2 linked regions of the Lytechinus pictus genome follow. The protein of the gene in region 1 binds, or shares a complex with, the protein of each later gene. Links are inferred from orthologs where the notes say so. Each region holds a gene or a part of one and is shown in the gene's direction. Other genes may lie near its edges. The genes, in order: phenylalanine--tRNA ligase beta subunit-like and phenylalanine--tRNA ligase alpha subunit-like.

What was found.
Region 2: the proteins of phenylalanine--tRNA ligase beta subunit-like (region 1) and phenylalanine--tRNA ligase alpha subunit-like are in contact, whole or in part, in a crystal structure (PDB 3L4G), measured with the Homo sapiens proteins. The link is inferred for Lytechinus pictus from reciprocal best matches to the Homo sapiens genes FARSB and FARSA. Residues at the interface, in NP_005678.3 of Homo sapiens: Glu26, Phe29, Gly32, Leu33, Pro68, Ala69, Asn70, Ile150, Arg152, Asp259, Thr261, Lys262, Arg305, Lys316, Lys317, Val318, Gly319, Ile359, His360, Cys362, Asp363, Glu366, Ala369, Ile370, Tyr374, Asn375, Ile377, Gln378, Met379, Thr380; in NP_004452.1 of Homo sapiens: Ser221, Gly222, His223, Leu224, His225, Leu227, Leu228, Arg231, Ser232, Arg235, Leu239, Gly242, Phe243, Thr244, Glu245, Pro247, Asp249, Asn250, Phe251, Ile252, Glu253, Ser254, Phe263, Gln266, Gln267, Phe277, Phe278, Leu279, Arg280, Asp281.

Annotation. Positions count from the first base shown.
Region 1 is NC_087258.1:12,217,834-12,233,478, forward strand, and holds the start of phenylalanine--tRNA ligase beta subunit-like, read left to right. Parts: upstream 1-7,082; 5' UTR 7,083-7,198; coding exon 7,199-7,256; intron 7,257-9,202; coding exon 9,203-9,258; intron 9,259-10,235; coding exon 10,236-10,333; intron 10,334-11,256; coding exon 11,257-11,386; intron 11,387-12,164; coding exon 12,165-12,280; intron 12,281-12,654; coding exon 12,655-12,763; intron 12,764-13,808; coding exon 13,809-13,959; intron 13,960-15,062; coding exon 15,063-15,195; intron 15,196-15,645.
Region 2 is NC_087255.1:20,706,284-20,722,362, forward strand, and holds the start of phenylalanine--tRNA ligase alpha subunit-like, read left to right. Parts: upstream 1-8,729; 5' UTR 8,730-8,764; coding exon 8,765-8,827; intron 8,828-9,744; coding exon 9,745-9,863; intron 9,864-10,413; coding exon 10,414-10,506; intron 10,507-11,825; coding exon 11,826-11,954; intron 11,955-13,576; coding exon 13,577-13,692; intron 13,693-14,306; coding exon 14,307-14,391; intron 14,392-15,472; coding exon 15,473-15,572; intron 15,573-16,079.

The DNA of each region.
Region 1 (15,645 bases):
GGACATCTAATCAAATAAATTATGTTGGGATATATAATCCTTGTAATTATCCATGAAAATGTTATGTCGGTTCCTAGCGTGAAGTTTGATTCTCCATGAAACAATGAATTATTGCAGCGATTTCATACTGCGTAGTGAGTGCGAGCACAAAAAGCGCGCTCCTCCGCGGTGCTAGTGCAAAGGCATAGATGATTTGTGCATGGAGCTCACGCGCGAAGCGCAGAACCATACCATTTCAAGCAAAATAAGACGTCTTGGGTCTTTCCATCGCCCTGATAAGCTAGAAATTTATGTAAATTCGTAATCTTGATTTAATCATGATGTGGATGTGTAGAAATTGTCTCCCCCTTCCCGCACAAAGCGCGTTTTCTGAACTTTGAAAATGATCATTGTATATTGGTATGATTAAGAAAATTTATATTACACGGGAATTTGTCAGAGTGAGCACACAGCATATGGGAGACAATATACTTTCGAGGACACCCCTGGCTTTGTGGGATTTTTTTTTAGTTTATAGGTTTATTGACAATCACATGCATTTGATTTTAGGAGAAAATTTGCACTACCATCAGGCAGATATGACCATATTGTATGTTATGTATCGGTGGTTTTTGGTAACAGAGTAAGTTAAGGCGTTGCCCCCCCCCCTCCCATTTGATTACTTCATAGAAAGTATATTGATTTTTTTTTCTGCACAGCGAACCTTAATTTCTAATTTATATATGTGCGAAAGGCCGAACGAGCCCGGGAACGGACAATATTCCATCAATTGTAGAAAGTCAATGTACCTGGCAGTGGAAACGGGCCCTCACAGTCATTTCCATGTATACATGCAAATTATTGTCATCGCCAATCCCTCGCAATCCATTAAGTGGAAACGTGCTTGAGTGAGAATCAACTCTTGTTTTCCCGGCTTTCAAGGAAAGAGAGTGTCTCGATGGAGAGAACATGTGACCGTCTATGAACTCCACAATGAAAGGACGTTCATAAGATTATGGGACTTTAGGGATGGGGGCTTTACAACAACATTTTGTAAAAGGGGAAATACAAAGAGCATGTAGAAAATAGATGCAATAAGAACGAGTCAATAGCGTTTATCACGATACCAATTGTCAAAAATCAGGCCAAAGAAGGGCCATCATTTTCTGCATAAATAATAGAACAAGATAAACAAATAATGTAATTACAAAATTACCTTTTAGAGCTAAGTTATTGATCTTTGGCAAAAAACAACAAAAGTGGATCATATTTCCAAAGTAAAAAAACCGACCTCAATATAATGCGATATTGTTTGTTTTTCTGGTTTTTTATTTTGTTACGTTTTGTTATTGTTTTTTATGATTATATTTTGGGGGGATCTTCCTCTCCCTGAACCCCCCCCCCCCGAATTGGCTTCTCATGTCGTATGACCCGGATCATCTTGTATATCAATCAAGGATATCAAGATGACATTACATCAACAACATAATAGACTGATCGTCTGAATATGGCAGACTTTAACTCGTGAAAAGGGGAAGTATATTGGTGTGACAAGAGAAAAGGCGGAAATAATTTAAAGTTCCTTCTGTTTATATAGCAGACGTTGTTTAGAAGTAAAATTTGAAATGGAAAGTTTGTGGAACTTCAGGAGGCTTGGGGCAATGTGTTGTCATTTCTATATATGTCTTTTGATACTTTTCGAATAATATCTGTTCGATATCATATGGGATGGAAATCTACCCCCCCCCCCCCCCCGCCCGTGCAGATGATCATACAGCAATTAATTTATGAGGGAATGTTTTCAGATATTCAGCGATCAACAACTAACGGAAACTGTTTCACTTTTATCGGTGATCAACAAAATTGAATATTGTTGTCTTACAAATTCAGTGAAAAATTAGTATTGAACGACGAGTTTCTCCTTTTATAAATCAAAGTTTGTCGGGAGACATTGGCGAACGCAGGGGGTGGTTACAGGGGTTCAACCACCCCCCTAAGAATTCACCCCCTAAATGTTTGTTAAAGATTTTTTTTTCTGCTTGTCAATTTTGTTTTGGGATACGAAACGACTTACAATTTGTGGTGAAGACCATTTTTTTTTTATTTTGTTTTGGTTGTCAACATTTCATTCATCTTGAACCCCCCCCCCCCTTCAAAAATCTTGCCAACGCCACTGGTCGGGTCCATTCCGTTTAGTTATCACCCATCACAGGACAATAATATATGCCTAATCAGGTTACAAACGAGAACATGAAGGAGGAATAAACTCTTCAAAAAGAAAAGAAATAAGGATTGGTTTTAAAAGGACGTTGTCGTAGTCGAAGAGTTCGTTGTTGTTGATATTGCTTTTCAAAGAGAACAAGAACTGAGTCTTGGAAACGTTTTTGTTTAGATGTAAACATTACATATTTAGACGTTTGAAAATTGAGATGTGTTCCACATTTCTCACTTTCTCGCGATAAGTCCGTTCCAGCATGTTCTATTTTCATTTCACCCTGGCGTGAATGTCGATTGATCTTTGACGTCATTAAAATAGGGGTCATATTAGAAGCCGACCTTGTGCATGTTGCGGGTCATTATTACATAGAGATAGTGTGCATTTGCCTTATCGAATTGAACATTGGGAGCCCTTACAATTACTGTGTTTACACCCTGTGGTATGGTCTTAGAATCTGTAGAAAATTGGGTTATAGGTTAGGCTGAGTTAGTTTGATCATGGACCTACTAGTAGGTCCATGGTTTGATTAAACTGTATTCAGAATATCTATATTTTTTATCCAAGAGAAGGAAAATCACTCCTCCGGTGACTCAATGCAAATCCATCTTTGATATGAGGCTTCGCCTTCTTCGACTATATTTATAGTACATTCATCATAAATACAAACATTTCGCGTATACATATCTAGGGGTGCGGTACCATAGGGGAGCGAGGGGGGGGGGGAGCTTCAGCCCCTTTTCCTCCCCACTCTTTTTTTTATATAACTAATATACGAAACGTAAAAGTGGCCAATTCTAGCCATCTAATTGTGTGTTGGGTTTTTTTTGGCATGCTGGTCAGTCCTTATTTCGATTCACCCCCCGGCCTTCCCAATTTAAAAACCATTTCGTGACCACTGTAAAAGAAAACAAATACAGAAGCATTTAGCAGGATAATATCATACCGTAGAAAATTGTGAGAAATAAATGCATGGAAAATGAGCACCTGTGGTAAGCTTTAAAACACTTGTACATGAAATGCGGGTTGATTGATTGATTGATTCTTTATTTCCATGCAAAAAATTGATCATACAACATAAAATATATTGACAATATTTCACGGTAAAATAACAATAAACAATCATTGCATGGGAGGGGACAGTCATAAGCACAAACTCTTGAAAAAGGACGCCCCTCAAGAAAGACTACGGTCCTGAATATAAATCAATTAAAGTCCATATTTTAAAAAGTACAATAAAAGCAGGCAATGGCGTAACTACGGGGGGCATGGGGGGCACGTGCCTCCCCAAATCGGCTGGCAAAAAAAACGGGGGAAAGGAGAAAAAGAGGGAGAAAGGAAGAGAAACGTAGTGGGAAATAAAAAATTGTTTATTGTAATATTATATTATAATTATGTTATATTATATAAGAAACATTTTTTTATAACTTTATGAAACATAATTTGCTCAGGGCCCATGTCTTCACTGTTCCTGGTGCTCGCATTGTCTGTTTAACCATGGACCTGTATAATCCTGTTGTACTAAAACATCCCGTTTTCAAGTCAATATACACCAAATATATTTCCTCGCACTTTTATTATTATTGTTTTATGTAGTGACATATGCTACATAAAGTGATTGCCCCATTTTAAGGTCCTAATATAAAACATTTCCTTCCGTGCTTAACTTCGCATTGGTGGATTGGTGAGAAAGTATGTCTGCTCTTCATGAATTCCTAAAATCAGTCATTTATATGTCCCTTTGTCTGATCCGAATATCAAAATTTTCAGCTCGCGCTTCGCGCTCGCATCATTTGAATAGTGAAATACGAATGGTCTTAGTGAATTCCTTCAAACAAGCCTTAGAATTTGCGCGAGGTGTGGGAGGTGGGGCCGTACTAAACCTAATGATGTACATGTAGGTAAAGGTAAAACCAACGTCAGTGAATACAACAATTAAAATATCGCTGCTTTTATGTAATAATAATAATATACAGTTCTTGTATAGCGCATATCACATTATGAACAATGTCTCTATGCGCTTCCAAAGGACTTGGATATTATTACCCCAGCTGTAGCTTGGCAGCCGTAATTACTAAGATTACAGCGCACACGCATTTCAAGGAATAAATTCCTGCCAGGTACCCATTCACCTCACCTGGGTTGAGTGCAGCACAATGTGGATGAATTTCTTGCTGAAGAAAATTACGCCATGGCTGGTATTTGAACCCACGACCCTCTGTTTCAAAGTCAGAAGAGTAATCCACTGGGCCACAACGCTCCACAGGGTTTCAGTTCAGGGAATACTTGCCAAGGGTATCGTTTTGTTTCCAATACTTGTTAAGAGTTGGGTTTCACAGGCTAATACTTGTTGAGGGGTGCATTTTCAGAATATGGGAAAAACTTGTTTAGGGTGCTTTTCGAGACCCCATGGTCGCGCATGGTATCCACTCGTCAATGGAAGTGCCCCCCCCCCCGGAGGAGTGGCTAACACCGTGAGGGGTAGACCCACGCATGTGTCAATCCAGAAGGGACAGGGGGACACGCCCCCCCCCCCCCCCCCGAGAGAGAGAGAGAGGGGGCAGAGAAGACTTTCTAACGATGGGAACTCACTATAGCCCCAGCCCCCCATTTTTTGGAAGTCTGATTTCATAAAATGGAATCGACTTTGCAAAAATAAAGTATGTCTCAATCATCATGCCTTTTGGAATGGCAGTGAAACGAAGTTTCAGTTTTGAAGAAGAACTTACCATGGGGAAGAACATGGAAATGTTGAAAATGCACTCCGGTTGTAGTTATGAGCATAGTAGGTCCATATTATGACCAAGTGAATAATTTGCAGGCCGACAAAAGGTGGCGCTGATCCATTTTGTACCACTCAGTCACATCAACATTCATTTCCGCTGAATGTGTGATCATGGAGCTAGCTACTACGACCACGGAGAACCTCCTCGTCATTGCATCACATACGATACGCAATGAGAGAGACTGAAAGGTGTCACACACACACAGTCATGAATTATTTTTTCAATTTCATTATGAAATATCACATTTTCCTCTCGAATGATGCAGAGCTGATTTTTATTTCTCGTGGAAAATGTGAAATCATCCCCCCCGGGGGGGGGGGCACTTCCATTGACGAGTGGATACCATGTGTGAGGCAAAAAAAAAAACACGGAAAAGGGATCTCTTTTTCAAGATAGGCCACGTTACGTACGAAACGTAATAAGGGTGTCAAAACACTAAAATAATGAAATGGGGCATATATTTCGCTAGGAAAACTATACGTGTTTACGGTCCAATTTGCGAGGGTATGAAATGACTAAAATAGACCTATATAAAGGATTTATTTTTTCCAAACACTACTTGTTTAGGGTCCGATTTGAGCGAGGTGTTTGGGTACGTGGTACTAAACCAATGAAAGTAAAGGTAAAGCCGACGTCCGTGACAAAACAATTAAAGGAGAATGAAACTCTTGGAGCAAGTTAGCTTTTGTGAAAGCAGAAAAATCAAAGAATAAGATCAACAAATGTTTGAGTAAAATAGGACTAGCAATAGAAGAGTTATGAGCATTTGAATGTCGATCGAGATCACTAATGCTATGGAGATCCTCCCATTGGCAATGCGACCAAGATCTATGATGTCACAGATGAACAACTCTCCCCTTTTGGACACTGAAAATATACCCCAAAACATCTCTTTTTGCTCAAACTTTCAACAATATGTTTCTTTGATTTTTCTCTTTGATATAGATTCAGCTGGTTTCAAGGGTTTCATTCTCCTTTAAGATATCGTTGTACTTGTTTAGGGGGGTCAATTCAGGGAATATACTACAAGTCTTGACAAGGGTACCGCGTTTCCAATACTTGTTAAGGGTAGAGTTTCACACGCCAATACTTGTTATAAGGGGTGCATTTTCAGAACATGGAAAATGCTTGTTTAGGGTGAGTTTCGAAACACCATATGGTCACGCATGGTATCCACTCGTGATGGACTTGCCCCCCCCCCCCCTGGAAATCATCCAAATTAAATAGGATACTACTATGGATGCAGTAGGCCTAACGTCGCCCCTCCTTGAAATAATTAACACGACCCGTGTCAAAGGTGACTCATTTTTCCTCAGCTATATAGGGCCTAACAGGGATTATTTTCGACAGTTTTATTTTTCCTTCTTCCCTTTTCTTCCTCCCCTTTTTTCCCCTTTAAGCCTATCTTGAAAAGTAATAGGGGGATTACCCGTGCCCTCAGATAGCGTCACCCCATCAGAAAATGAATAGGCCAACAGAAACAACCTCTTCTCGAGAAGGCCCATGACAGGGCCCCATGTAAGAAAAACAGTGCTTAAAGGGTATAGTTCACCGGTGTTGTTACCTGGGTAAATAAAAAAAAACAAATAAATACAGGGGCGGTGATCCTGGGGGCTGGGGGCCGGGGGCACAGTGCCCCCCCCCCACTTTCTAGAAGCACTGAAAAGTGCCCTTAGTTACCCAAGAAAAATGCCCCCTCATGAACGTGTTCTGTGCCCCTTCCGCCTAGCCTGAGAAGGTCCCGTTTTATGGCGTTAACGAGTACACTTGCCTTGTTGTAAGTGGCCTTACTCGAATCAGTGCCCCTCTTACCCATCGGATAGTGCCCTTTTCCTGCATGTGCCCCCACTTTCAACTTCGCTTCGCCGTCTCTGAACAAATAAGTAAGTAAATAAACAAGAATTTTGATATTATTTCTACGTATATATATACTTACTGTAGGCCTCAATGATTGAAATTGATAATGCATAAGATTTACGCGAAGTTTGATTGCATCATGGACCTTTATGATTGCATGCTTGCTGTGCAACGCCCTGAAGAAAATAATTATTTTATTCAAGATTTGTTACTTCAAAAGTAGCATAGGTCTCTCTTTTTTAATTAATGTTCTCGAAATATTCAGACAAAAGGGGCTGGTCGTCCACACGTTGCATCATTTCGAACGAACGGATCACACTAATTGACTTTCTCTGGTATTTATTGAATATCTGCCATCGAAATGCCTACTGTTGGTGTGAAAAGGGATCTTCTCTTTGAGGTTTTAGGGAGAACTTATAGTGAGTAGAGAAATTAAAATAACAAACCACCGTGTGTCGCCAGTCGAGCGCAACGGCTTCGTACTGTAGCCCCATGTACTCGTTTTAGTGTTAGTTAAGGATCTGTTCCACACTCGCTAAACTTTAACGATTTAAGTGGCATTTCTATCAGATTGTGCTTTGTTTTCAAATGATAAAAGCTAATAAAATATATATAAATGTTTTGTTGTAAATATTCCATTTTATTCATTACCAGCGAGCTAGAACAATGAAAAAATATTAATACTAGGCCTACTAGTATGGTAGTGGATCGTACTACTATTACCGAACACTTTTCATGAATTCAATCATATCAAACACACTATTCTCATAAAATTCACCAAACTTTCACCATGAATACACAATTACCTACAAAATATAAATATGTAAAATTTTTGCCGAAATAGTTTTTCCTTTTTACGATTTTTGCTTCCAATCGGACCCCTCTTCGCATGTGAAATATTTTGGTCACTTGAAAAAGGTATCGTAATTAGTATTACCGAACCACCCAAGGGTTCATTACATGCCGCCGCGCACAGAAAATTCAAGCCATAGAAGTCATGTGTTGTGGACCCAAGAAGTGAGATCCCAGCACGCGCGACCCACTAGTTAGAAATCCACTGCCAAACGCGGTTCGTGGTGCGAGGTTAGTATACTAATACTAACCTCGCAATACGTGTGAGTGTTACCGAACGTGTGTTTTCTATGGGAAAAGTTGAGAAAACAACAAAATCACTGATGAGCTATTTTGACCATATTTTATTGTTTTTAGAATATTAAGACTTTGAAAATGTGTTTTTGACCATTTTTCATCATCTTTCTATTCAAGTTCTCTTTGGTCTTTTGGAAGGATGTTGCGAAATTTTGAATGTATGAATTTTTTTTCTGATGCTTATGTCAATGCGCGCGTTCGGTAATACAAGGCCGGTCGGTAATACAATCACTCACTATACTAGAAAAGAAACGGTACAAACACGACATCGCAAGCGCGCAACAGCCAACAAATTGAACAACATTTTTTTATTTTTAATTGTTCTGACTTTTTTTGTTTCGAAATGATCTTGTCTAATGATAGACCTACTTAGTTGTGACTGTGGCTGTTATGCAAACCTCCCGGCCTGGCCTCTTCCCTTACTCGTACTTGTACTATTCGTACCTAGATAGACAGCTACAGCTGGCAGCCGGCAGCCGTCTGTTTCGAGGAGCTTTTTTACATTTTTATTTTATTTTATACTTCTCCTCGTACGCAGTCACAGATGGCTTGCTATCGTGCAGCCACCATAAGGGGGTTAACAATGCAAAATCCCCCCGACAGGGCTCATCGATTTTTGTCTTTATTTCATAAAAATATATAAAATCTGTACCAAAATAAAGATTATTATTCCATTTTGGCCTGAAATGCACCAAAACAGAGAAAAATAAACTTAAAAGGGGGAAAAAACAGTGACTTACTTCGGCTGTCGCGCAACTTCACTTCCCTGTTTTATCCTAAGTTAATATATAAATATATGGCCATTGAGTACCTGTACAGATCGAGCTAGAACTTCGGTCTCTGTTTTTGGTGAGTGGAGCCAACGGAGTTCAGCGTAACAACCAACATAACAGAGACCGAAGCTTTTGGTCTAATTCGTACCATGCCAATTTCCAATTTCACTGCCCGTTTTTAAAGTCTTTCTAGGCCTAGAGGCTACATCTTCTTAATTTATCATGCTTTGACTTTGTTTAATTAAGGCACAAGATTAATAGATTTCTACTTCATTGCATTGTCTTGTGTTTATGTCTATAAATACAATCGTAGTATTGATTATTATGGCAGTTGAATTTACCGTCTGAAGATTTTCGCCAGGGACCGGCAGGTGCAATACACTGGATGATGAACACCCTACTCTTTAACGTTTTTTCTCTTTTGTTTTTCTTTACATTCACAGCTGATGAAGAATTTGATGAGCTCTGCTTTGAATATGGCCTTGAACTTGATGAAGTGGTAATTTTTTTTTCAATTACTCTTTTCTATAATAATTTGATTTTGTTATTTGTGTTTTATTCTTAAGTTGGTCTCTATATTAAAGGGGAATGAAATCTTTGGAACAAATGGCTTGTGTGGAAACCAAAAAATAAAAGAATAAGATGAAAGAAAGTTTGAGAAAAATCGGACAAATAACGAAAAAGTTATGAGCATTTGAATATTGCGATTACTAATGCTATGGAGATCCTTCCATTTACAATGTGACAAAGATGTATGATGTCACATGTGAACAACTTTCCCTTTGATGGGCTATAAAATGCCCCCAAGATGTCTCTTTTTTGCTCTTTCTTATGGTGATACAAACTCTTTATCCATAAAGTATTCTTTGAAAATCTGTGTTAGGTGCCCTCCTATAGAAAGAATACATGATCTACTGCCAGATGTGATACAAAGAGGCAGTGAAAGTTATATATATATATACAAAAGTAATGGCAAAGTTGTTCACACGTGACATCACACATCTTTGTCGTATTGCCAATGGGAGGATCTACATTACAATAATGATCTAAACTTCAAATGCTCATATCTTATTATCTATTCAATTTTTTCTCAAACTTTTGTTGATCTGTTTCTTTGATTTTTCTGTTTTTGCAAAAGCTATCTTGTTTCAAAGGTTTCATTTTCCTTTAATCTTTATCCTTTTTATCAAATATTTAGACTGGTGTTAATGAACTTGTAAACTACAGTACAGTGTTTGCGTATTTTATTATCCAATGGGTTGTAGTAAAGCCTAGCATTGCACCACTAATTGCTATGCTAATTAATTCAGTTTTAACAAGAGTCATTTGTAATGCATGCTCATGTCCAAATGCTTTTGCTTTATACATTCCTAGCACTTATCACTGATCCCCGTCCTCCTCCTCCCCTCCTCCTCCTCCTCCTGCATCTCTTCCACCTCCAACCAATTCTAATACTACAAATTATATTGTTTCCAGACCTCAGAGAAGACGATGATAGAGAAGGAACAAGGAACAGATAAAGCAGAGGGAGCTTCAGATGTTGTCATCTACAAAATTGATGTACCTGCAAACAGGTCAGAAAAACCTGATTGTTTTTATAATGATGAGCCAATTTTTCTTGTGATTAAAGGACAAGTCCTCCCCAACAATAACTTGATTTGAATGAAAAGAGAAAAATCCAACAAGCATAACACTGAAAATTTCATCAAAATCGGATATTATAAAATAGAAAAGTTATGACCTTTTTAAGTTTCGCTTAATTTCACAAAACAGTTAAATTCACATCCCGGTCGGTATGCAAATGAGGGGACTAATGACATCACTCACTCACTATTTCTTCTGTATTTCGTTATATGATTGTGAAACAAAGTTTTATCCCTCCCTGAATATGTGGAATTACCAGTTTAAACACTTTATGGTTCAGTCAAGATGGTCTTTATTGTCAAATCTGTAAAAATTGAAATATTGTATAATTCAAACAATAAAAAAAACAATAGTGAGTGATGGACATCATCAACTCTCCCATTTGCATGTCACTGAGTTGTGCATATAACTGTTTTGTGAAAAATAAGCAAAATTTTAAAATGTCATAACTTCTTATTTTACATCTGATTTTGATGGAATTTTCAGTGTTATGCTTGTTTGATTTTTCTCTATTCATTTAAGTCAACATTTTTCTGGGGTGGACTTGACCTTTAATTTGCTCAAACAGTTGGCTCATTAATTCTGTAACCTTAGTGATAAGCATGAATTTAATTACCTGTTACAAAATTCATAATATTGGACTTACAAACTGACTGAAAGGAAAGCAAAACCTAAGGAGACCATAATATTGGAAAGAGGGAATTAAGACTAAGAGGAGAAACGAAAAACAAGATTGAGCTACTTCACTTTCATTCATGCTTCATATTGTAGTTAGTTACATAGATATTCTTAATTCTCTTCTTTCAGAAAAAAATGAATCTTTATTTCCATGATATTTTTTATTTTCAAACAGATATGATTTACTTTGTCTTGAGGGCCTTTCCAGAGGATTACTGGTTTTCCTTCAAAAAATGGAAGCACCGCGATACAGGGCTATTTCACCTAAACAGGGAACTCTTCAACAAATGTTCATTAAACCAGCGGTAAGTCTAATGTTAACTTAACTCATTACAATTCACTAATTTGATAACAGTTTGGGGTTAATTCAATTCAATTCAATTTTAATTTCATAAAATGAAAAGCATATATATACAATTAAAATGGGGATGGGCTTGAAAAAACAGTGATCCCATACAAAATATACAGTATAGTAAATCAAAAAGCTAAAACAACGATCAAATCTACAGTAGGTCAATAACAAACAAACTAGATGTGTTAGCAGGCATTTGAATGTTTTGATGATCTAATAGTAGGGCAGATCGTGATGACTTGTATCCAACAATTTGTATTGTTAAAATCCTGTGATTTTTAAAAAATCTTATTACGTTGCTCTGTTTTGAAGACAGGCTACACATTTCCCTATTGCTATAGTTTTCTCACTCAAATCTCCCTTTTAATGTTTTACCACTTGTGTCTCTATGCCTTTGTAATATTTTCTAATTGTTTTATATATTTTGTAACTTTTGATATTGTCAATGATTTTTATTCTTTTTAAAGTAATTTGGGTCGGCTGTATTACAAGAAAATTTTCTCCTTGGCTGCTTCCCTTTCAATGCTTTTTTTTTTCTTGTTAACTTATATCTGTGATGTTATGTATACTTTGTTCTTCGTGTATTTTATCATATGTTCGTTTTATGCAGAGAAAAAATAAAATTGAATTGAATTATTTACCCTTTAATATACCTCTCTTGTTTTCAATTGTGAATTATAATTAGCATCCCTTTCCTTCTCATTTTGCTCTCATTGAATTGCTCTTGATAGACAGCTCAAGTGAGGCCCTATGCTGTTGCAGCCATCATGAGAAATATCACCTTCAATAAAGATACCTATGATAGCTTTATTGATCTTCAAGATAAACTTCATCAGAATTTAGGAAGGTAAGTTGGAGCTAAGTGAGAGTGATGAATTTTCAAAAGCTGTAATCACAATCTAGGTAACGTCATTGTGATATGTTGATGACTACCCAGAATGCTATCCCATTTATGAGGACACATTGTACGCTGTTTATGTAGTATTTGATAACTGCCCCAAGGGAAAGAAAGAAGAAAGGAATTGGGAGAGGAAAAAAATACAGAATCCTGATGATTATGTGCATAAAAAATAGAGTTGACTGAAAAAATTAGGGGGCTTTGCCTCCCCCCTTTAAAAGAAATTGTTCCCTGGCCCCTCCCTGATGAGGACTGCTCTCCCATATTTTTCAAATGCAAGCATATTGCTGATTCTTTTCTCCAATATCATGATTATCGTTTAGGAAAAGAAGCTTGGTTTCCATGGGAACCCATGACCTGGATACAATCCAAGGGCCATTCTACTTCGATGCTCAACCCCCGCACCAAATCAAGTTTGTTCCTCTAAACCAGGTCAGTCTTTGAAGCAGGGGAAAGATGTGGGGCTGTTTCCCTATTTCTATGTTTGGATGCATCAAACATGCATTTTAGGGAAACTTTGCCAATTAAGATGCCTTCCTCAGAAATATTCATTTTATTATGCCCAGTTGCCCAGTTTTACTATGGTGGTTATAATGGACAGCAAAGTTACAAAACGCTAAGTTTTATGCTATTGGCCCATGATCAGTGTTTACTCCGGGGCTATATCTCAAGAGTATCAAATTTTGAGACACTGGAATTTCAAATTATTTTTGTTATTAGATTTTTAATGCCAATATATTGTCATAATTGAGTAATGAATAAACGAAAGCCCTTTATCAAATTATTCACACTTTGGCAGCAACTGAACAACTGGAAATGTACTATACAAACAGTTATTCTCTCATGTAACATCTTGGAAAGTGTTGATTGAAACCCATTTTTGTCTCGCCTGCATAGCAGAGCGAGACTATAGGCGCCGTTTTTTCCGACGGCGACGGCGGCGGCGTCAACATTGAAATCTTAACCAAGTTTTTGAAATGTCATCATAACTTAGAAGTGTATGGACCTAGTTTATGAAACTTGGACATAAGGGTAATCAAGTATTACTGAACATCCTGCCTGAGTTTCAGGTCACATGACCAAGGTCAAAGGTCATTTAGGGTCAATGAACTTAGACCATGTTGGGGGAATCAATATCGAAATTTTAACCAAGGTTAAGTTTACGAAATGTCGTCATAACTTCGAAAGTGTATGGACTTAGTTTATGAAACTTGGACATAAGTGTGATAGTGTATCATTAAAGATCCTGTTTAAGTTTCAGGTCATGTTGGGTAAATGGACATAGTATTTTATTATCATATGAGTGTTTTCATTTATAAATAATTATTTAATAGCTATTTTGAAAGTCAGCATTGCTGGTATAATACTAACGCAAATAACGTAATGCAGGCGAGACTGCCAGAGGCGTTCCACTTGTTACCCTTTTTAACCATTTTACCTCTGACCTTTACCATGTGACCTCTGACCTTTCAACCAGGTCAAGGCATTCACAGCTGTAGAGCAGATGGAAATGTATTCCTCAGACAGCCATCTACGTCAATACCTCCCTATCATCAGAGACAAGCCTGTCTATCCTATCATCAAGGATAGCAACGGTGTCGTCCTGTCCATGCCTCCAATCATAAATGGTAAGAACATAATAGTAATAATATGTGTGATTTGTAATGCGCCAAATCCACTCGGCAGAGTGCCTAAGGCGCAGTGAAAGAAAGAAAGAAAGAGAAAAGTACAAATATAATAGTGATAGATTCAGGAACAAGTAAGAGTAGGAAGCATTGAATAGACAAGTCTTAAGGTAACGTTTAAATGTGTCAGTGGAAGTACATTAACAGATAACCAGGGAAAGATCATTCCTGAGAACAGGGCCAGCGTGAGCAAAAACCTGAACCCCCCCCCCCCCCATGTCTTAACGGATTTGGGAATAACTAGGTAACCAGAGTTGGATGAACGTAGGGACCTGACAGGAGTGTATTTGCTAATTAGATTAATATTGTACTGTGGAGCAGAGCCGTTAATTGCATACATTGTAGAGACCCCAGTTTTTTATTTTCTATAATGTAAATTCCATGGTCTTCGATTTTCTTTGAAACATCACATTCCATACTCTTTAGTGACATGTACTAATTCCATGCAGTACAAAACTTGCACCTCTATCATGTCTTTAAACCTACATCAAAACCTGTCTATAGTGACCACCCAAGGGAAACACAAAATGTGGCCTCTATAGACAGGTGGCCGCTATAGTAGGGGCGTCGTGGTCTAGACGTTATGACTCTCGTCTTTCAATCTTAGGGACGTGGGTTCGATTCCAAGCCATGGCATGTTTTCCTTCTGCAAGAAATTTACCCACACTGCTCCTCTCAACCCAGGTGAGATGAATGGGTAGGAAGAAATTCTTTGAATGCTCGAGCGCCAGATTAAGGTAGCTGTGCTTAATCAGGCGTAATAATAACATTATCATGTGAAGCAGAGCCCGCTGGGAGAACAGTTTTCGGAACTGAAGTGGCTACCCTGGATAAAATACAACATTATTATTACTATTATTATTGTTGTTGTAGTTGTTATTATTATTGTTATAATTAAAATTATTATTATTATTATTATTATTGTAGACAGGTTGTTATTCACAATCTACCTCCATGGGAATCTGTTTCAGTGGTCACTATAGGCAGGCAGCTGTTACAGAGAAGTGGCCACTAACACAGGTTTGACTGTATTTTCCATTCCTTAGGTGACCATTCAAAGATCAAGCTTACCACCAAAAACGTCTTTGTTGAGATCACCGGCACTGACCATAATAAAATCAAGATCACCCTTGACATCTTAGTTGCCATGTTCAGCCAGTACTGCAAGGAACCATTCATGTAAGTTTAGCAAGAGGTAACGATTATAATCTTTAAAAAAGAATGTGAGAAAACTACACTGCATTGACTAGGATTGAACCCAGGACCATATTTATGTGAAAAAAAATCTTTGTATTTTGTTTCTATTTCTTGGCTGCTAGACTTTGCGGATATGGACTACCATTGAGATAGGTTAATGGTTATAGAAGATCTGATTATTGTAGCAGTGTTTGGAATAATTTTGGTGGTGGCATTTATCATTGATGTTTTGCCAGGATTTGATTTCTAGCATTGTAGTAAAAATGGCTGATTCAGACGAGGGACTGCCATTTACTACATTGATAGACAAGTGCAACAGAAAGTTCCTCTAATTATTTGTTGAAAAACATTTACAGCAAATGAGAAGATACCATTAATGATAAACTTTTGGAAACTGGATGTTATTATTGTCATTATCGTTACTTCATTTGG
Region 2 (16,079 bases), on another chromosome or scaffold:
ACACTTTTCAACATTGACTTTCAAACCAGACATTGCTTTAAAAGTATTTAATACAGATATGGGCTATTCCACGGTTACTCATGTTACATTTGGAGACACCTTGACTCATACTTGGAGCTGTAACTCCATTATTATTAATAGGAACTACACATCTCTTTATTACAACATAGTACGCAGTCTGACTATCCTTTGTATAAAAACAAAACTTGGGAAATTTCATTATGCTCCTGGCAAATCTTTGAAATGTGTCGGTTACTCATGTTACATGATTTGGACATGCATAAAATGAAAAGTGGACATAAGTGAAAAGTGTCCTCATGCAAGGCTTTTATGAAAGTTGATTATATCCATTTTAAAGAAGTATATTAGAGAGACAAATTTGTATATAATTAAAAAAATAAAGAACACATGGTTTTTACTAGGGGTGCAGATAAAGTGGTTACTCACGTTACGGTTCAGATGGGCTATATGTACAAAGACACATTGAGCTCATGTCCACCAACCTATGGAATTGCCCATATGCATTTTCTTAAGTTTTGTTCGTTGGGTTCAAGGTAAATGGTTGTGTCGTCTGCGTATTGATTTATTTTTATTTCGGTATTATCATATATTTTTAAACCACGGATTTCTTGATTTTCTCGAACTAAACAACCTAAAATTTCAACAACTAAAATAAAGAGATATGGCGAGAGCGGGCAACCTTGTCTTACTCCGCGGTGTATTTCAAAAATATTTGAGGAATAGCCATTATTTATTACACAACCTTCAATATCAACATAAAGAAGTTGAACCCAACGAACAAATTTTTCACTGAAACCGAACCTTCTTATAGTTTTGTATATAAAAGACCACTCAACTGTATAGAACGCTTTTTCAAAGTCAATACAGAGTGCAAGACCGCCAACATTGTGCTTTTTGCAATAATTTTGAATATCAATAAAAAGTCTTATTTCGCCAATATAACGTCCTTTGAGAAAACCACATTGATCATGATTTATGAGAGGTGATATTACTTTTTTTATTCGGAAAGAAATTATTTTTGCGAGAATCTTATAATCACTATTTAATAAAGAGATTGGACGCCAATTTTTCAGTAAAAGTAAATTTTTCCCTTTTTTAGGCAACAGTGTAATAATACTTCTCCTCATTGAATGAGGTAATATATTTTTTTCAAAACTTTCATTAAAAACTAAACATAGTAAAGGATTTATTTCATTCCAAAAAGTCTTGTAGAACTCAATTGGCAACCCGTCACTCCCTGGTGACTTGTCATTTGCAAAAGACATAATCGAATCATAACACTCCTTCTCTGTTATCATTGATCCCAACATATTTATGTCACTCTCATTTACAGTTGGTATATTTAAGTTTTTCATTGATATATTCCTATTCAGAATGTTCTCTTGAGATGAATACAAATTAGCATAAAAGGTCCTTTCTTCTTCAAGAATATTTTTTTAATTAAAAATAATACCTGTATCTGTTTGGAGCCGAAATATACATTTCTGTTGGTAATTTCTTTTTTCTAAGTTTGCAAAGTAGTTGGTATTTTTCTCTCCCTCTGCGATCCATCTCACTTTCGATCGCACGATTGCCTGTTGCTTGGATTCGCAGAATCGACAGACTGCGTTGAATCGCTATCCTTGAGTTGTCGTAGCGGTGAAGTGCGAGGTGTTGCTATGTGATTACCTGGGGGGCGTTTCATCAAACAATTAGTCGGTGGTTTTCTCCGACTAAATGTGATTTTCACCGACTAATTTCAGTTTCACCGACAATTTTGCCATCACCGACTAAATTCCATTTCATCAAAATTTGTCGGTGATTTTCTCCGACAAATTATTGGAAACCACCGACTAATTTTGTCGGTGGCCTTCACCTACCGACAAAACTTATTTTCACCGACTAATCAGCCTTTTATGGACTTTAGCAGCTAAAATTTATCAATTTCAGTTGATTTTGAATATAACATTTTAATAAATTGCTTATTTTTCATTTCATTAAGAAAATTCAAAGAAAATGTATTTATTTTCAGTCAATGACAAATAAAAAGTAGACATTTCAAGCATCATATTTTTATCTTTAAAGCTATATTTTCATAAATTAATTGATACAATTTGATAGGAAACACCTTCAAATGTACACATTTTTAAAAACATTTATGTTCTTTTCTTCAACCCGAATAAATCATTGTGCATTTTTTAATCAATAATGTCTGAAAATGTCTGTGACCTCATTGACTTTTGTACAAGTTTTTCAATATTCATTAGTGTTGTTGGTGTTGCTGCTGCTGTTGTCATCGTGGTTGCTGGAATTTCTGTTGTTTTTGCTGCTGCTCTTGTTGTTGTGGGTGTGGTTGTTGCATCTCTTACTGCAGTTGTGGTTTCGGCTGCTGATGCTGTTGTTGCTCCTGCTGCTGTTCATGATTATTGAAGTAACTGAAATGGAATTGATTTATAGAGCATGTGATATTTTACTAATAAAAGATATTAATTTCCATCATTATTTATATCAAAGTCATTTATTCCTAATTTAATTATCATTGTTAAAACTTAAATTTTTAAAAAAATTGTATGTTTCAAATAATAACTTTAAGTTCTAAATGGTAAAAGTATTGTCACCAAAGCCTTATTAAACAACAAAAACAAAAAAGTTAAACAAAGTAATGCATAAGAAAATTATTAAAATGTACATGCATACACAATTGATTTTAATGACTTTGGTTTTTCTCATTGGTTTACCAAAGAAATGGAGTCAAAATCCAAAACTATCACATTTGGTCTTTATTTCTTGATTTAAAGCAAAATGCTGATTTCATGCAAGAGTCATGTTATAAATAAAAAACCAACATCATACCTGCTGATTTCTGAAGTGAGTGCACAATCAACAGGCAAGATCCTGGGGCACACCCCCCCCCCCCCCCATACCAAGATCATTTGAATTAGTGAGGTTTAATGACTGCTTCTGTAGTCATTACATTTATCTGATTTATACAGGCCTACAAGAGATATAAAAGAAATTGTGTTCTTTTTGGGGTAATCTTCCGGTGTTCCTCCCTGACAAAGCAGATGGTGATGGTGTGTGTGTGTGTGGGGGGGTCTAATATAAATGCAGAACAATGGAACATTCATTTACTACTTTGGCAATAGAAAGCAAGTCACACCATCTAGCATTGATTGATATTGTTGTTTTACAACTGTCCAAGAAATATCACCATTAATAATTTAAGCATCTAAGCACTTATAGATGTCATTGTTTTCAAATATTGACTGGTAGAAGACCAATTAAAGAAGAGAACAGTACCGGTAATTTAATTTTCTTTTAATGTGACTTTACTTTCTTCGCCAAAATGAGGCAGTAATAATTAAGAGTGTTTTACCTTACAAGTGACATCACATTTCATGCCTTCTTGTCTTGCTCTCCTAAACCTTCAACCATTTATACTTTGGTAACTTTGCATCTCATGTCTGTCTGAAAAGTTTGGGTGAAGCCTCCACCTGAAGGAAAAATAGCATTGAAATAACTAATTAAAATATTTGCCATAATCGTGTATTTCTTCTCACATGTATATGTACATGTCTAAAACAGGAAATAAAACATCTTTTGATAACCATACAGGTTTCATATAGAAGGGGGTAAATAAGGGTTCAAGTTTTTATTATGTTAATTAAAACTACAAACAATAATAAATGACATGCTCTGGCTGAGAAACTTAAATAGAGAAATTATTCCTCACAATGTAGCTTGTATGTACATCCCGGGGGGGCCACTTACATTGACGAGTGGATACCATGCGCGACCAAAAAAACACGTAAAAAGGATGTCTTTTTCACGATAGGGCACGTTACGTACGTAACGTGATAAGGGTGTCAAAAACACAAAAATGATGAAAAAAGGGTATCTATTTCGCTGGGACAATTACGTGTTTAGGGTCGAATTCGCGGGGATGATAAAACAAAATTAAAATGTTTTATAAAGATGTCCTTTTTGCCCTAACACTTCGTGTTTAGAGTCCAATTTGCGCGAGGTGTAGAAGGTGGGTCGTACTAAACCAAATAAGGTAAAGCCGACGACCGAAGGACCCGTAACAATAAAACATTCATGTACTTGTTTAGGGGTTCATTTCAGGGAATATTTGCCAAGAGTATCGTTTTGTTTCCAATACTTGTTAAGGGTAGGGTTTCACACGCCAATACTTGTTAAGGGGTGCATTTTCAGAATATGGAAATTACGTGTTTAGGGTGCTTTTCGAGACCCCATGGTTGCGCATGGTATCCACTCGTGAATGGAAGTGGCCCCCCCGGGATGTACATACACATGAGAAAGTAGTGATAAATGGATTGAGGGGTGAGAGCAGGGGCTGCGGAAACGGGGGGGGGGGGTGCATGTTAGCTGCAGGGTCAGCGGAACAGTTTCTAAAGTGAGCGAGCTGACCATGCAAAACATCATAACCAAATGGTCATTTTACATTTTTCAGCCCCCACATTGTTTTCCAAAACCATGTACAAAAATTCAAAATTGACCATCTGCTAATGATTTTTTGCATGGTCAGTCCCCCCCCCCCCCACTTTCGGCTAAGCCCCCTCACTTTCAAAACCGTTCCGCTGACCCTGCAGCTAACATGCAAAACATATTGATTATTTTATATGTCTTTCATGTTTATGTAATGTTTGCATTATAAACTGACTTTAAATAGAAAATCTGATTAAAGTCTGATTTCATTGTCATTGATGTGGGTTTTAATGATTTAACATTCTGCAACCCAAAAAATATCCATTATTTTGTAATCATTATCGCATTTTACTAGTCTACATGTTACCTGTGGTTGCATTTCAATCTCAGTATTTCTTCACCCACTGCCAAATCTTCTGCCACATGTTTATCAGATTGGCCGCTGGCACATTCCTTGCTGTAGTAGACCAGTCAGAGCCTAGCTTTCTAGTTCCAGACCCGTCTCCTTCTGCATATTGTTAAAATGTCCATAGTCTGAAATTAAAATATTAATAATATCACATTGATATACATGTAGCAAAGAAATTATGTAGATTTACACAGTGATCATTGAAAAATACTGCACTTTCAATGAATATTGTTGACATTTCATAAAGGGGAATGATCAAATATACCAATCATTTTTCTTCTTTTATTATCCTGAAATTTATAGAATTTACCAAAAAACGGTCAACAATTTATCCTTTTTAATTCATATAATTTTCAATTGATTATAAACAAGACGGTCATTAACACATTAACCATACAAATAGTAAAACAGTTTTGTCAATATTTTTTTAAAATTCAAATATAAAAAGATTTTTTTTTTCTAACCCAATAGCGCTTGGATACCTTGCCGGTTAAAAGCCAAGATAAAATTAATAAAAAAATATGAATAGGCTCCTAATTCATAACTGCAGCAAATTGCATCCCCATCAAACCGTCAACTATTTCTGGACTGTGACCTTTGTTCAAAGGAACTTTAAAATGAGATTCAAGGCAGAAAAATACTTGGGATTGATGAGATCCATTACATATTCTCCTATATTTTTTTTCTAATGAAGAGACCTTTAACCTTTACATGCTATTTAAGGTTGGGTGTGACTAGACTCTTTATGTGGTACGACTTTATGTGGTACGACAATATTTTTCAAAAAATAGATTAAGAGACATTATCAACAATAGTTTAATTTATTTACCCCAATAACACTGATGCTATTGTAGATTCAGTGTCAAAATTTATAGGATGCTAAATAGTAATTTGTTTTAAAAAATGACTAAGATAAATAAAAGCAAAACAAACTTCATAATCGCACACAAATGAGGAGCATTATATCGTCTCCCCCCAATTTGGACAATCAATCTTTTTTTAAAGGGAGCTATGCAATGGCTCATTTCACGTGGGTGTGCAAAGTCAAAGAAAATTTAAGATAGATCTAGGTCTACAGGCTATACCAGTATGGCCACGGGCCGGGTGCACCATTTAAAACTTGGAAGTTGGATCTAATTTTTTTAAATAAGTCCTAGATTTCAATTCTTATTGGGTGTGAACGCACCTCTCCGCTCTGCCACAATCGCATCACCCCCCCCCCCCTGAATCCTTGCCAGCTGTCGAGAGCCTTCACTTCATTCGACTTGTGACTTGCTAAGCCTATGCTATATGATAAATAAGTTGAGAACATCCAATTTACCAAATTACCACTCAAGCTATTACCATGTGATTTAGCTCCTGTTCAATTCCAATATCTGTAACACAGAATTGGGATGGCCCCATTGGATATGTGTACATTAACAATTACACACGCTGGTTTGCCTGGTGATCAAGGATATCTCCGACCACACCGAGCAACAAAATCAATACAAAACCAAAGGAAATTAAAAATTATGATATGTAACATAGAATGACATAAAGGTAGAACAATATAAAGTATTCTCTTTGCAAAATTTATAAAATTGCAGCCATGTGCGGATCATAAAAACGTGTATGGACAGCCGTGTCGTTAGTTTGGTCCTGAGATAGTTCTACAGACACAGAAACACGGGTATGGGACTAGACTGGATTATGTGCTGTCAAGTTTATCAATCGTATCGACAGGGGTCCTGCCAGAAGATTCTCTTTTCTTGTAATTCATTTGATAATTACGCACAACGAATAATTCAATCACCTTACATACAATATGAACGACATTTTGAAGGGTTTTACTTACGGTAAAATCCTCATTCACCTCTTCGGGGACCTTCGCTTCTACTTATTTCTTCGTTTCACTTCGAATCGTTGCGGCGAAAACATCAACCAATTTTACATCTTCTTCACAACTTTGGGAGTGGGCGTGGCCTAATTAGTCAGCGAACCTCGTTCAAGACGATTTGTAAAATAAAAATTCACTGACAATAGTCAGAGAAGCTCCGAGAGTTTGATGAAACGAATTTTTGTCAGCGCTGACTAAACTGTCAGCGCTGACAATTTTAGTCAGCGCTGACAGTTGTCGGACGAAAATATTGATGAAACACCCCCCAGGTGCGCGGTTGTTTTGTGGGCAGGCATTCTTCATTTGACCAGCGTTTTTACAAAGGTGACATTTTACATCATTGTGGCATCTGGATACATGGTGTCCCGATTCAAGGCATCTGGAGCATGTGACTGGGCCAGCTGCACCGGAGTGTTCGGGTTGTCCAAGATGATACACGCGTCCCATGAAGTTGGTCCCGAATAACATTTTCCTAGGCAACGGTTGTGTTGGTGGGGTAATGTATAATATCCGATCTCCGTTTAGACAATTTGTAAGTTGACCGTTCACTCTCAGTTTTTGGCGATAGATATCTCCTTGAATCTCGCATTTCCGGTTTTCTATCTCACTGCGTATGACTTCGTCGCTGACAGACAGCGGGATATCTTTCACGGTCACTCTGGTGAGGTTTTCGTTCCTAGACCTTGTGAAAGGATTCACATCGTAGATTGCGACGGTTGCTCCGCGGATTACCAGTCCATTGGATATCAAATTGACGCGGTCTTCATGGGAGTTCAAATAAATTCTCCATAAACGGCGAATTTGCTGTATTCCCACTATGTTGTCTAGACTGAGTGTTTTGGCTAAGGCAACGTATTTTTCCTCACCTGTGACATGTTTCTTTTCGTCATTCCTGATATCATCCACACGTAGAAAAATGGGCTTGGGGCCTTTGGGCATGTGTGTTTCTGGGCGTGGCGTTGCTTTATGTGCATATATAGTGCGTGTGTATCCTATACGCATTCAGTGTCACATACGTCAAACAGTTAAACTCCCCAAAATATATGAAAATACGTAGCCAAAAGATCCTTAAAACCAAGATAAGTAATATCAATGATCCAAAACAGTTCCGTAGGCTAAAGATTACAAACTGATGGTTTTCCAATTTCGCGATATTTCCAGATATTAATTCCGTAATGGAGAGGATGCTAGAGTGATGTCTTAACACCTCGAAAGCGCCCTCTATATCGTCATTACCTAGATGATTTTTGTTGTTTTATTCTGATGTTTTGTTGTGTTTTATGGGAGGGTGCAGGAACTTTGTTGTGATACATAATTGTAGATCACGTCAAATGATATAGAGTAAGAATAGTTGATTCATGGTTTACATTAAAAGGCATGTAGCCATGTAATCAAATATGAGCTGATATCATCTTTTAGTAAAGACTGAAAATACTTTTAGTACCTCCATTTATGCCTGTTTAGAAGGACAGCCCCAATTAATTTGAATTTACCCTTTTCTTTTATGACACCTTTGTTTTGTTTTTTCATACTGCCCACTTCAAAGTCTTTTACCATCAGGCTCAACGTTCTCTTCTTTTCCCAAACCATGACCCATAAATTCTGATTTATTTTTCACTACCCTTTCTACACTTTGTTCCAGATCCATCGTTAATCCTTACCTATTTCTATCAAATGTATCAAAAAAGTTTTAAAATCCCAGCATTTTTTACTATTTTTTTCCTCTATTACCTTTTTGCCAAAAAATGTTTATGGTTTTATGGGGAAAAGAAACCCAAACTTTTTCGCAAATTACCAGTAATACTCTACTATCTATTGCAGTGAAAGAATGAATAAGAGTGTTTCCCCCCCCAAAAAAAAAAAAAACAACAACAACAACAACAACACATATTTAACTCTTAGAATATTTCAAAGCTGTATATATGTGAGTTTGGCATTTCTGTGTTACTTTGATTTTGATTGCATTATTATGAATTGATTAATGGTAGAAGACTGTTCCGAATGCTAAAATAGGATTTAGCAAGGCAATGTCGGCAGGATGGTTGGAGGTCAACAAGAAATGTCAAGGTGGTCCAAGAGTTCTGAGAAAGGTAAGCAAGATCGACAAAGATTAATTGATATGTTATGAATAAAGATTATTGTTGAAGAACTGTTCCCACTAGTTAGATTTAGCAAAGAAATGTTAGTAGGATGGCTTTGGTCAATAAGAAATTTGAAGGTTACAGCTCTAGGTCAATGTAAAATTTAAGAAATATGGAAGAAAAGTGTTCCTATATGAATAAGCTATGCTATTTTGACCACAAGATTGGGTATTCTGGAGATGAGTTTAATAACGTGGCACAGATTTACAGAGAGAAATATGCTGTGGAAAAAGGGGTCATATGCATTTGATATTATTGCAGAGAAATGATCCCACTGCAAAAAAGGATTTATGAAATATTGACTGATAAGAGGTTAATGAATGTAAATATGGTTCTCGCGTACAGAGTAATATCAACAGAGTTATCAAAAGTTCTTGGGTTGTTGTCGTTACGATTGGCACAAACTTAGTAAATAATAATAATAATAACAGATAGTTCTTGTATAGTGCATTATCACCTTATCATAACGTCTCTAAGCGCTTCTAAAGGACTTGGATATTACGTGTTGAAGCGTTTCAAGGAATAATTTCCTGCCAGCTACCCATTTACCTCACCAGGGCCCCATTGCATTAAAGTTACCATTATGGTAGCTTTGCCATCCAATGGCAACTACCATGGTAACGCTGATCAACAACCTATCAAAATCAAGGATTCGATACGAGTTAACATTGGATGCAACAGGGCCCAGGGTCGAGTGTAGCATAATGTGGATCAATTTCTTACTGAAGGAAACTACACCATGGCTGGGATTTGAACCCAATGACTTTCAGTCTCCAGCATGTGGGGAGATTAATCAAGGATTTTATGAGTTGATAATCATTTATTTTGAACCATGAAAATTTATCAGTAATGTTCTTCTTTTTTAGGTCTCCTCCATAGAAGATAAAGTACAGTTACAGCTCCAACGAATCAGACAGGGGAACGTAGAAACAATAACAGATAAAGAGAGGGCAGAACTAAAGAAGAGAAAACTCATTACTGAAGTGTAAGTTTTATTATTATTATTATTATTAATATTAATATTATTATTATTGTTATAAATATTATTATTATTAATATTGTTATTGTTATTATTATTATTATTATTGTTATTATAATTATCAATATCATTATTCCTCTAAACAGGATCAAGTCTGTATTTTTTCTTGAATAACTTTGCTCTAACAAAAAGCACTAAGTAATTTCAAGTGCAACTAAGAACTTTTTACTACTAATGTCCAAGAGTCTTTCTTATCAATCTGGTTGTACCCAATATAGCTGCCTTCTGAATGTCGTACATCAGGAGATGAGGAGAGATCTTGGTTATGCAGGCTTCCATTCCTCTCCAATATCATTATTATTTCATTATTGTTATTGTTATTATTATTATTAATATTATTAGTAGTAGTATTGTTGTTGCTGTTGATGTTGTTAATACTACTACTACTTCTTCTACTACTACTATCATTATTTTTATACACCCATTTTTTGTTACTTTGTTGTTGTTCTATTGCTTATACTGTTATTTTTTTCTCTGTTTATATATATATTCACAGGACAAGAAATACTTTCTTGATCAAGAAGGGAGAAGAGTTCAGCACAAAAATTCAGAAACCAGAGACCGATCTTACTCCTGATATGATCATGAAGTATGTGAGCGTTGACATTGTAGTGATCTTAAAGCGACCTTTCATTGACAAATCCTGGGGAAATCAAGGCTTATCTCAGAACAGAGAAGGGATTCAAGTCTTTCACTCGGCTGCATGCCTGGGGGTGTTATGTAATAGACGCCGGCATGTCTGGGAGGTCTATAGGAGAGCAATAATTAGTAGATTAACCAAACAGAAGTAAACTGCATGTTTTCACTTTGAAACATGTAACTTCCAGAGGTTATTTATTTTGGTTTACAATCAAGAGACCTGCTATGAGTCTAGGAATTGGGATTGTTGGAAACTGGAACTGCGATGATCCGAAGTAAATAACCATCACGGGTTCTATCAGATTTGTGCTGTCCGAACTTTTATCGCATTAGTCCGACGGGTGCTCATGACGGATGGATTATATTATGCAAGTCAATTGGCCTTTTGAAAATTTTGTATTGATTCAATTTCCCCATGATTTGTCAGTGGCTGGGCCCTTTAAAGGGGAAGTTTACCCTGAAGAAAAATTTATTATAAATTTACCAGAAAACAAACAATATTGGTGAAGGTTTGAGGAAAATCCATCAAAGAATAATAAGAAAGTTGTGAGAATGTTAAGTTTTTGATTTGTGACGTCATTTATATGTGCAGCTTACCCATGTGTTATGGAAGAGTGCATAAATTTCAATTAGTTGATGGTTCATGATGCCTTTCAGGAGCTGGTGTGAAATCATTTGTCTGTTGGTATACTGAAAGTGCAATATAAACCATTCTATTATCAATTTTAAGGGAAAATTACATTTTATTGATTTTTTACTACACAATATATGGGGAAGCTGCTTGCATATGACATCACAAATTGAAATATTAAAATTCTAATAAACCTTTTGATAATATTTGTTCTATGGTGCCTTCAGGGGTCACATGGTATTATGTCAAAGGTTATGACAGGCCATACATTATTGTATACCTGCAAGCCTCTCTTCTGACAGACATTTCTACTTATTTTTGCAAGAGAGCGAGGAACGGAATCGCTAATCCAAATCGAAAATCCATCTTTTATTGTTCGAAACAGAAATCCTCTAAATATTTGTTTTGCCCAATTAATCGTGGGCCCGGCAGCCGCTGTGCAGCACCAGACCGATGTAGCTCTATCCTTTTTATTTGTTAACGCCAAACAGGGTAGCAGCAACTTCCATCTTTTAGCATCTTTTGGTCTGACGCGGCCGGGGTTTGAACTCCCGACCTCCCGGTTGTGAGATGGATGCTCTACCATTCGAGCAAGACATCGGTTCTAATGCTTTTTGATAAAATTGTTGTATTCACAGAGGAACATGGAAGGATCATAAATTCAAGGATTATAACTTTGAAGCTCTTGGGGTCACGATCCCGTCAGGTCACCTTCATCCACTTCTCAAGGTCAGGTCACAGTTCAGACAAATCTTCTTGGAAATGGGGTAAGCTGCTTTTGGGTTCTGTTCATTGGTCAGAATTCTGAAGTTGAGTTTAATTTAAAAGCTGGTCTAAAGTTGTGGTTTAAGTATGGATAGCAAAGTTTTACATAAATCTAAAAAAGAGGTTGATTGTATCAGTTCATTTTACCTCAAATCATTTTTAATTGTCTTGAAAGGACAAATGAGAGAGTTGTCATTATCATTAAAGAATTGAGAAATGGCACAATAAAGATAAGAAACATATTAAACAAAATTTAGACATTTTGGCTTCCCATAATTTTAGCACAGAGTTAGACCATAATCTAATTTAAATCTAATTTCAGAATACAGGCCATTGAGTTTAAAGTTAATTTTGATTTTATATAATATAAGTAATTTTATATGATATGCAATCGAATATCTGAAATTGCAATAATAATAATTATACTTGCATATACATGTATACTGTTTAACACTTACTTTATCAGAAGTCTTTTAGCCCTGCAGTAATGCAGGATAATTAACCTGGCTTTGGCAGAGCAGCTGTTACTTGCGCTGCATTTCACCCATTCACCTCACCTGGGTTGAGTGCAGCACAATGTGGTAAATTTCTTGCTGAAGGCAAACACACCATTGCTAGGCATCGAACCCACGTCTCTTAGATTTAAGGTCAAGAGTCATAACCACTAGACAACGACGCCCCCACACTTATTTCATACTTAATCCCATTCTTTGTGTAAGAAATTGTAACATTTCATGTACACATGCATGATTATTGATAACCCATTTTTATAAGCTTTCCTTTTTCCACTCTCTTCTTGAACCATGACTGTTATTTATGTTTAGGTATGTCCCAGGATATTAATTTTGTTTGGTATATATTTTGATATTTCAGTATGGCTGAACTTACTCTGTTATCATCAATTTAATCAGCATAACTCACCACACATTAATATGCTAAACATGAAAATTTCAATCTTAATTTAATTCAATTCATTTTATTCAATCATTTAAAAATCAATATACAAATCATACATTAATGTACAATATAGTTTAAATGATTAGGGTGCCCCTAAAAGCAAAAGCTTGATGAGTGGGACACCCAATACATAATATATAAACGTACATAAAAGTGAAAAAGTGACTATTATAAATACGAACAATACATAAGAAATAAGACAGTAAACCTACAGGGGAGGGGGGGGGGTCAGGAAAAGGGTGTGGAAATGAATTATGTGATTAATTGGCATACATAAATACAAGTGAACTTTTGAGTTTTGTTTTAAATGCAGTAACATTTGTGCTAGACCTTGTTCATTAATTGAAATTACATATTTGGAGATCTGCATATTTGACTATGATGCATTCCTGGTAGTAGCCATATTTATTCCATATGTGTGCAGGCAGAGAGAGAGAGCAAAAGAATATATAACAACAAAAATACCAATTTATTTATATAATATTAAGTTTATTGTCAAGATGTTCAGAAATTTGTTAAAAATCAGTTCATGCTGTTTAAAAAAGTGAAGGTAATATCATGCATAAGATGCTGATTTGTATGAAAATAAGGAGTATATTTTTGTTGAAAATTTATTCCTTCCAAACCGCTTTTCTTACGATGTTTCATCTCTCATTTGTAATCATAGATTTACCGAGATGCCCACCAATAATTTCATCGAGAGTTCTTTCTGGAACTTCGATGCTCTCTTCCAACCCCAACAACATCCAGCAAGAGATAGCCATGATACATTCTTTATCAAAGGTAATCTTTTTTTTAATGTCTGCCTGTTTTTTTGTCTGTTTATTTATCTGTCTGTCTATCTATCTATATATCTAGCTTTTTCTCTCTTCCAATCTCAGCAACATTCAGCTAGAGATAGTCAGTCTATATGTCCTCCATCTATCTATCAAGCTTTCTTTCTCCTAATCTCAGCAACATCCAGCTAGAGATAACCATGATACAGTGTTTATCAAAGGTAATCATTTGTAGTAACTGTAACACCCATGTGAAAATCCTAGGTCCATCAAACTTGAAAATCATTAAGTACATCTGCTTAAGGTCAATTACATGACATAACAGACATCCTGAAATAATTTGTCTCTGGTTCCTAGTTGAAATTAAAAGTTTTTATGCTCAAAAATACAAATTATCATGACTTTAGCACTTCAAGTGAAAAGGGAAATGGAGGTCAGACTTACCAATTTTTTTTAATTATTTTATGGAATTACCCCATTGCATTGCACAGGCAAGGTATAGTATCTACAGGCAGAGGTGTATATAGAAATCCTATGCCTAAAGCTTTTGACCCTTCAGAGCCCTGAAGTAGGTATATTCGGTAGATAGCTGTTAATATTCCATGTTTTATTTGTTGGCAGATCCTGCTAATGCCACGCAGTTTCCCATGGACTATCTTGAGAGGGTAAAGACAGTACATTCCAAGGGAGGCTATGGCTCACAGGGGTAGGTCATGTTTAGTTTAATTTTGTTTTTGTTTCTGTTTATGGTAACTCCCATAGGAACCCGACAGGACAGCTTTTGGCTGGTAAACGCCAAACTGGTATATAACCAATTACATAGGAAACATTTACGTCTTAAGTTTAAAAATCAGACATAGTGGCTGATGTTATAGACGACAGATATTACTCTCGGGTCTTTTATTAAATCAAAGTGGACGCAATGGCAGAGCAGGGATTCGAACTCACAACCATGCAATTATGAGTCCCATGCTCGAACCACTAAACCACACGAACTAGAACTTGTTGAACTAGATATTAACCTGTTGATTCCTTGAACCAGATGATCCCTGTTCAATACCTTGGGAATCCTAGAATTCAGTTGTCACAGGGTTAAGGAACCATGCTTGTGTGATGGTTCCAAGGATAATGAAGTCATTGGAGATGAGAGTTATAAGACATGGTGAAATTATGAAAGTTTGATCATTTTGCTTTCTATTTGATATCCATCATCGAAATGACAATTTTGCTTAGAATGGGATGTTTTCATGGGAATTTTCAACAAATTGTGCCTTTAGTATGCTTTCTATGTTTATTATCTGTTTGTTTATTATGCAGCAATTCTCAAATTTTGGGAAATGTATTTGGGTTTTCCCGTATTTACAGGTGGTATTCTGATAGCCATGGTTTAGTTAAACCCGGGTTTACTTAGACCACACTCTTATGGAATACCAGTTGTCAACTCATTCATCAGTTAAAAATTATTCTTATTCTGCTGCAAAAAGTTGTCAAAAAATAATTGAGTTGTGAATTGGGAAGAATAGTTAACTACCAAAATGTTAAGAATTTTGATGAATTAATTGATACATTATGATTGCCATGAACTTGGAAGAAGTATAATGAAGCACTCCATAGCAGTGTGGTCTGAAATTGTAGTTTAGACCAGGGTTAAACCTAGGTTAAATTATCAGAATACAACACATTGAGTTCACCCAAAGACAACCGAGAAAAGCCTCTGTTGTCTGTTTTACTGAGCTTTCTGCTATTTTAAAACGTTTTTACATTGATAAACTTTTGTTTGGACATAGATACCAGTATGACTGGAAGATAGAGGAAGCTCGGAAGAACATACTGAGAACACATACCACTGCTGTCAGTACAAGGATGCTGTATAAACTAGGACAACAGGTAATATCAGCATGTGGACAGTCATTGTTTGGGTTCTTTGTATGTGTTTATTCAATGCAAAACTGCTTTTACCTGCTGAATGTATATGGTTACTCAAGGATTTAAGGGATCAAATCCACATTTCCTGGAAATGTAGTGTGTGTAGTTGTAAGAGGAGGATGTAGTTGTTGGTGATGCTGATGAGGAGGAGGTTGTGGTTGTGGTGATGATAAAGAGATGATGATGATGATGATGATGCTGATGAGGAGGAGGTTGTGGTTGTGGTGATGATAAAGAGATGATGATGATGATGATGATGATGATGATGATGATGATGCTGATGAGGAGGAGGTTGTGGTGATGATAAAGAGATGATGATGATGATGATGATGATGGTGATGATGAGCATGATGTGGAGGGTTGTGGCCCAGTGGATTAGTCTTCTGACTTTGAAACAGAGGGTCATGGATTTGAATCCCAGCCATGGCATAATTTCCTTCAGCAAGAAATTTATCCACATTGTGCTGC